Saccharomyces cerevisiae S288C: one gene and its partner. The protein of the gene in region 2 binds, or shares a complex with, the protein of the main gene of each other region. Each region holds a gene or a part of one and is shown on either strand. Other genes may lie near its edges. The genes, in order: RAI1 and RTT103. A codon is read from its position in the direction of its gene.

Evidence for each region.
Region 1: the proteins of RTT103 (region 2) and RAI1 are in contact, whole or in part, in a cryo-EM structure (PDB 9FMS), measured with the Saccharomyces cerevisiae proteins. Residues at the interface, in NP_010575.1 of Saccharomyces cerevisiae: Asp257 (codon at 2,961), Ile259 (codon at 2,967), Ile260 (codon at 2,970), Pro261 (codon at 2,973), Thr262 (codon at 2,976), Tyr263 (codon at 2,979), Glu264 (codon at 2,982), Asp267 (codon at 2,991), Asp269 (codon at 2,997); in NP_011268.1 of Saccharomyces cerevisiae: Thr16 (codon at 1,781), Ala17 (codon at 1,784), Leu18 (codon at 1,787), Lys19 (codon at 1,790), Gln20 (codon at 1,793), Pro21 (codon at 1,796), Asn98 (codon at 2,027), Arg208 (codon at 2,357), Lys215 (codon at 2,378), Trp265 (codon at 2,528), Cys268 (codon at 2,537), Phe269 (codon at 2,540), Gly272 (codon at 2,549), Pro299 (codon at 2,630), Val300 (codon at 2,633), Lys303 (codon at 2,642), Cys313 (codon at 2,672), Leu314 (codon at 2,675), Ile317 (codon at 2,684).

Annotation. Positions count from the first base shown.
Region 1 is NC_001139.9:36,790-40,515, reverse strand, and holds RAI1 (decapping nuclease), read left to right. Parts: upstream 1-1,735; coding exon 1,736-2,899; downstream 2,900-3,726. Other genes in the region: glutamate--tRNA ligase GUS1, read right to left, coding at 1-1,493; BRR6 (Brr6p), read right to left, coding at 2,990-3,583. UniProt on the Saccharomyces cerevisiae protein: Decapping enzyme for NAD-capped RNAs: specifically hydrolyzes the nicotinamide adenine dinucleotide (NAD) cap from a subset of RNAs by removing the entire NAD moiety from the 5'-end of an NAD-capped RNA.
Region 2 is NC_001136.10:1,037,778-1,041,701, reverse strand, and holds RTT103 (Rtt103p), read left to right. Parts: upstream 1-2,192; coding exon 2,193-3,422; downstream 3,423-3,924. Other genes in the region: HRQ1 (ATP-dependent 3'-5' DNA helicase), read right to left, coding at 1-1,974; Smc5-Smc6 complex subunit NSE3, read right to left, coding at 3,596-3,924. UniProt on the Saccharomyces cerevisiae protein: Involved in transcription termination by RNA polymerase II and in regulation of Ty1 transposition.

The DNA of each region.
Region 1 (3,726 bases), on a different chromosome or scaffold from region 2:
CAGATCAAGTTCCATTCCAAGTTAATGACATTTCTGGATGGACCTTGGGATAAGACGAAGTTCCTCAAACCTTCGACAGTCATACCTCTTCTTCTCACACCCCTGACAGTTGGGAACCTTGGATCGTCCCAATTTCCGACCAAGTCCTTGTCAACCATCCATTGTAACTTTCTCTTAGACAACAAGGTTCTAACGAAATTGATACGAGCGAAATCCCAAATATGGACTTTTCTCAAACGCAAAGCTTGTAACATCCAATCATATTGAGCGTTACGGTCTCTATATTCAATGGTACGTAAAGCGTGGGTAACACCTTCAATAGCATCAACAATTGGGACACAGAAATCATAAGTTGGGTAGATCTTCCAAGTTGATCCGGTTCTGTGGTGAGGGGTTAGATTACATCTGTAAATGACAGGATCTCTTAGAGTCTTGTTCAAAGCCTTGTAATCGATCTTGGCACGAACACAGTTCTTCAAACCTTCTTCAGTACCGTTTTTCATTTCTTCGGTAAAAATTCTTAAGTTCTCTTCAACAGAACGATCTCTTCTGGCAGAAGCAACACCATCCATACGTTCTTCTCTCATCTTTTCAGTTGGAGTGTCGTCACAGTAAGCTTTACCATCCTTGATCATTTGAACACAGTAGTCGTACATTTCTTGGAAGTAGTCAGATGAGTAGGTTATTCTATCACCCTTGATTCCTAATAAATCCAAATCTTCCAAAATAGAGTCTTGGAATTCTTCCTTTTCCTTCGATGGGTTGGTGTCATCGAATCTAATAATCAACTTACCCTTGTAAGCTTGAGCAAAATATTGGTTCAACAAGGCAGCTTTGGCATGTCCAATATGTAAGTATCCAGAAGGTTCAGGTGGGAAACGAGTGACGACTTCACCCATTTTGGCATCTGGCAAATCAATTTCAAAGTTAGCCTTGTGAGTTTCCTTCTTCTTACCCACATTAGCACTTTTCTTTAATTCTAGTAAAGATTTGCTCAAGAAATCGTGAGCTTCGCCGAAGATGGGATCCATTTCTAACAAAGTGTACCAACGAGAAACGTTAACATCAACCTTGTTCTTGATGATGGAACCGCACATACCATTGGATCTTAAAGCACCCCAACATGCTACATCAGCGGCAGAATACTTCAAGCCGCCAAGAATAAAGGTTCTTAGGTTCAATTGAGAATCTAGTGTTTCCAATGATTGTGATAATTTAGCAAAGTTCTTGATAACTAATTCCTTTTGGGCCAGATTAACCCATTTAGCAACTTGCTCTTTATCACCATTATCGAAGATGGCGGCGAATTTGCTAGTTATCTTGTTGAAGACATCTTCAGTAGCATCATCGAGCTTGGCAGCAGGTGCTTTCTTATCGTCCACCAACTTAATAGCTATGGAGTTAGGAGCTAACGCATTCACAATACGAGCAGCAATTAGTTCAGCATAAGCCACAATTGGGGCTTTTCCATTAATAGTCAAGGTAGATGGCATCTTGATCCCTTCTATGCTTTCCTTAACCTTTGAAAATAGTTTCGTCATTCTTATGGAAGTTATCTTCCATTTTTTTCACTTTATCTTGCTTTTAACGAAGAAGAAAAAAAGAGTAAGCATTCGGGTAAATTGAAAAATTTACTTCGAGAATATTAGGAACAGATGAGGTCTGGTAATGTTACTAATACTTCTGTAATATGGTGAAAGAATAGCGAAATATTAGACCAACATAGTGTATCCCAATGGGTGTTAGTGCAAATTTGTTCGTAAAGCAAAGAGGGTCGACAACAGCTCTGAAGCAGCCAAAGGAAATAGGATTCTATTCAAGAACTAAGGATGAAGAATATTTAATTAGCGATGATACGAATTTGAATTACTACTATCTTCCAGACGCTGAATTGGACAGGAAGTTGGATCTTTCATCAGGATTTCAGAAATTTAAGGATTATTACAAAGATTTTGAAGACAGGTGTTCCCTGCGTGGGCTATTAGAAACCATAGAAAGCTCTGAAAGACATAAAGGAAAAAAAATTAATGCTGATATAATTACTTTTAGAGGAATAGCACGGAAATTAATTTCATGTGCATTTGACTCTCCATCTTTTAATACAGTTGATCTTCGTATCGTTTCATTCAACGGCCAACTTTTTATCAAGGAAGTGCCTGAAGCTGTCAATGCAGCTAAGGCTTCCTCTGCAACTGAAGCAGGGCGTAATATAAATCAAGATCTGAATGTATTTACAGGGTACAAGTTTGAAACTTTGGCTACTCTTTCCAATCCGTTGCAGTATACACCCCGTGAAGTGATAGAAAAAAGAACTAAAAGGATTGTATCGCATGGAGATGAATACATTAGTGTTGTGAGAACTGGTGTAGGTAACTGCAAGTTAATTCTTGGTGCTGAGGTGGATTGTATATTTGACTTTAAAGAAAACGGTAGAGACAATTTAAAACATTATGCCGAATTGAAATGTACGCAGCAAGTTGCGAACATATCGGATACGCATAAGTTTGAGCGTAAACTGTTCCGGACCTGGCTGCAATGCTTCTTAGTTGGGATCCCAAGGATCATATATGGTTTTAAAGACGACCATTATGTATTAAAAACTGTGGAAGAGTTTTCAACGGAGGAAGTACCTGTTTTATTAAAGAACAATAATCCACAAGTTGGAAGTGCATGTTTAGAAGCCATTAAATGGTATGGTCTCCTTACTGAGTGGCTTTTGAAAATGATACCAAGAGATGAGGATCCTCATTCTCAAATAAGAGCATTTAAGTTGGTTTTCGAAAATAATCACCTAAGATTATCCGAAATTGAAGAAAGTGATGAGGAATATTCAGGTTTGATTGATGGAGAACATATATTATCGAACGGGTTTAAGGAGTGGAGAAAATCTTTGAAATAACAATATTCCTTTATGTCTTTCCTGCGCATATCCTCATCGACGTATGGATCTAAATAATATAAATGTGCAGATTAGATTAAGTTATATACACTATGCATGGCGAACCGATTTTGTATCTTTATTATTGAGATAAACCCTGTATGATCCGAAACTCGTATTGGTAACAAATATTATACCTATTATGCTAATTAAAATGAAAAGGAAAGATCGTATACTGAACGCTTCAAAAAAAGCATTTATTACCTCCGCCAGAGTACGAGCCCATGCTTTAGCCCATTGGTAATCGGAGCCAGACACTATTTCCTTGTTCATACATTTTGACCATTCATTGCAACGTACCTCCAATGCTGGAACCCTCATATGAGGTTCGCACTGGTTTTCAAAATACCTTGATTTGCAAGTTGCAATTTTATCTAATTCTTCCCTCACGTTATGCTCCAGTTTTAAGTTAACATCGTTTCTTATCATCAAAATGAATTTAATAGCAAGAGACAGTCCTATAGTTCCTATAATAAAATTGAAAAAAAGCTGTATATACTCCGCAATTAAACTTGGGCTCAACCAAATGCTTTGTCGGGCTAATCTAGCATCTTGCGGATGTTCACCTTCCAATACTTCCTCCCTTCCCAATCTTGGGTTAGCAAGTATGCCATCAGGCTGTCTAGAAAAACTACGGAGTTCCATTCCGGGACTTATGTTGGGATAGGGGATTCAAAGATGAGTCTACATAAGTTAACTCATCAATAATAATGGAAAGAAGTTTCATTAGTTACTACTAGTATTTTGCTTGCTCCCGGGTAATGAATTTTTCCGCTTTTCATCTACGT
Region 2 (3,924 bases):
CAAGGATTCTGGATGAGCAACATAATGTTGATCAACAGGCGAGTCACTTGCAACCACGAGGGTTAAAGAATCATTATTTCTTCTTCCAGCTCTACCACTTTGTTGATGAAAATTCGCCATTGATAGTGGGAAACCGCACATCAAGACTGCGTCTAGTCCACCGATATCAATACCAAGTTCTAGAGCATTGGTAGATATGACAGCCTTTAAATTTCCGTGAAACATCTCACGTTCTATTTTACGTCTGTCGGAAGCAGAATAACCACCCCTGTAAGACATGACTTCTGTAACCAGATCCTCACGCCCAGTTTCAATAAAAATATTGCGAACTTCTTTCATCAACAATTCACAAACACGACGAACGTAGCAAAATGCTATGGTTCTTACGTTGTTCAATATCAATTGTACCAATATCTTTGCACTCTCTCTAATGAAATTTTCTCGTTTACGTTCGTGTTGAGGTAAAATTGGAGGATTCCACACCACTAGATGCTTAGCACCTGTAGGTGAGCCATCCTCGTGTATTAGCGTAACCTCATTAATTCCAAACATGTCCTTCATATGTTGTACTGGAGACTTTAAAGTTGCAGAACATGAAATAAATTGTAAACCACTATTTTCGTAAAAACAGTGGCACAGTCTTAGTAAACGTCTCATCACTAATGCCACGTGCGATCCAAATAAACCCTTATATATATGCAATTCATCGACCACCACTAACTTTAGATGGTACAAAAAATGTCTCCAATTTGCATGATTAGGTAAAATGCTGGTATGTATCATGTCAGGATTGGTAAAAATAACTCTAGCATTTTTACGAATATAAGCTCTTTCCTCTGGCTCCGTATCGCCGTCATACGTATCAACCACGGCATTCTTTAGCTCGGGGATCTTTGAAAGTATTACCTTGAATGCTCTTTTTTGATCTTGTGCCAGGGCCTTTGTTGGAAATATATACATAAACGTTGATTCAGGATCCTTTAAAAGAAGATCGATAGCTGCTAGTTGGTAAATAAGGGATTTACCTGAAGAGGTCGATGTTGTAATAATGACGTTTTCGCCTTGATGAAGACTGTTTATCGCATCTGCTTGATGGCTGTAGAAATTTTCGTGTTCCATACCCTGATATACTTCCGGTGCAAGCTCAAAACAGAGACCTTTATACTTCGCTGTTCTTGATGGTATTGTAAAACAATGCTTTATCTGAGAAGCGTAGAATTCAGTACTTTTTAATTTCTCAATCATTTGAGGAATTGTTGTTATCACTGAATTATTGGAATAATTGGGAATGCTCATCTCATTACTTTCTTGCTTCGCCTTCATCATTGCCTCAATAGGATCCTCATAATCTCTCTCCCTTGGAATATATTTCTGCGCTAGATTTGTTAACTCAGAAAATGGGTCAAGGTTAGCCTTTTCCTTTTCCAGGATAAATTCCCGTAGTCTGGATTTAAAGAGAGCTTCCCTTTTAGAAATCATCTTTTTCATTTCCTCCGTAGTATATGTTGGTATCTTTATTTGAGAAAATCTATCACTTGCAGACCATGAGCGTTGCATTGTACCGTCTATAAATTCAAATATAAGTAACTGAGTAGATTTTTGAGTCTGATTTTGGTCATCAACGTCCTTCAGTTCAAATATGTCATTTTCCTTCTGCTGAAAGCCGCCATTATTGAAGTCAAAAATCTTAGTTTCAGTATAAATTTGGTTCTCATCAATATACTTGAAAACACATTCTCTTGGCATTAGCGCCATAACCATGGCTAGGTCTTCTTTCGTCACAGTTCTTTTCAAAGCAGTTTCTATAGGTCCACAAAGTGTTTTAAATGTAGGCACAACATGCTTTCTGCAAATCAAAAAGGTGTAAAGAGTATTAAGGCGGAAAAAAAATTGTTCAAAATTTCTAAAGGCATCGGTCTTTCCACTCCCTTGACCTGCTGACTTCAGTTTCTTTTTGATAGGTCCTTCCTCCATTTTTCCTTCTCAAATGAACATTTCTTTTCTACGACCTTAACCATCTCAATATGTATAACGGTTCTGTTTTATAACGAAAAATGAAAAAGTTATTTTTTTCCTTTAAAAATATATAAACTTGAAAAGCCAACATAATAATATAAGTACAAGCGAAGAAGGTTTTAACGAAGAGGTAGAAAATTTGAAGAAAGCAATAATCCAAGATTAAAATAGACGGTATGCCTTTCTCTTCTGAGCAATTCACAACCAAATTAAATACGTTGGAAGATTCCCAAGAATCTATTTCCAGTGCCTCAAAGTGGTTGCTTCTACAGTATAGAGATGCTCCCAAAGTGGCAGAAATGTGGAAAGAATACATGTTAAGGCCTAGTGTAAACACAAGAAGGAAGTTATTGGGTCTTTACTTAATGAATCATGTTGTTCAACAGGCTAAAGGTCAAAAAATTATTCAATTTCAAGATTCCTTTGGAAAGGTGGCAGCAGAAGTATTGGGAAGAATTAATCAAGAGTTTCCGAGGGACCTAAAAAAGAAGTTGTCAAGAGTTGTGAATATACTAAAAGAAAGAAATATATTTTCCAAGCAGGTAGTCAATGACATAGAAAGAAGTCTTAAAACCGAGAGCTCACCAGTGGAAGCGTTGGTGTTACCCCAGAAATTGAAAGATTTTGCTAAGGACTATGAAAAATTAGTGAAAATGCACCATAATGTTTGCGCGATGAAAATGAGATTTGACAAATCATCAGATGAATTGGATCCATCCAGCTCAGTTTACGAGGAAAATTTTAAAACAATAAGTAAGATTGGGAACATGGCTAAAGATATAATAAATGAATCAATTCTAAAAAGAGAAAGCGGTATCCATAAACTGCAAAGCACACTGGACGATGAAAAAAGGCATCTAGATGAGGAACAGAATATGTTAAGTGAAATAGAATTCGTTTTATCTGCTAAAGACCCATCCAGATTAAATAAAAACGTTGATGAAGACAATATTATTCCTACGTATGAAGTGGGGGATGGAGATGACGATGACGATGATGGTGATAATGATGATGATGATGATGATGATGATGATGACAAAAATTACGATGATAGATCCAATGACAGCAATTATGGCGTTACTAATATTAGCACCACAGATAAGAAGAATGAAGTTGTAGAAAAGACAGATAGCGAACATAAAAACTCTACTCATAATCCTAGTGACAATCAATTTGGTATGAAACGAACACATGATATGATAGGTCATGATGACGCTAATGACATACCGGAAAAAAAGGTTCATCTTGATTCGAAGACGAGTGAAGATGGTACTTTCAACAGTGAGGATGGACATTATGAGTTAGATATAGAAGGCCACGTCGGCGCCCAAACCGACGAAGGTGTTGAGAATTCCGGAGGGGTTTCTTCTAGTATACAAGACTTGTTAAGTAAGCTTGCAAATTAATATGATGGTTGAGTAAAAAGAAAACAAGGAGATAACTTATACAAATATATAGTAACCCGTTTAAGTCCAGTCTTTTTTCGTAACTATTTGCCCATAGTTTATTTCGTATTCATCTTCACTATTTCCTCGACAAAAAAGATGCGCACCTAAACTACATGGACACCTATGCAATGCTATATAGAATATGAATCGCCAATGCTTTTTATTATATCATCGTGCAAACTTTTAGTCTGCTCCTTTTCAAGGCCCATGATTTCTTGCACCAATTTTTCAAGAGACTCTAGTCCAAGCTCAGCCTGAGTTCTTCTACCTATCCTGTATGATATCACTTCCCCGTCGGTATCGGATTTCTCCTCCAATCTGACTATATATTCGCGCTTTTCTAAACTTTTTATCAAATCTTCAATAGTAATGTTCAGTATAGCAATCTTTGAACCATCGCTTGGAATGCCAAATGTCTCTAGAAATTTGATCAATTCCTGATGTAATATGTTATTCTTAG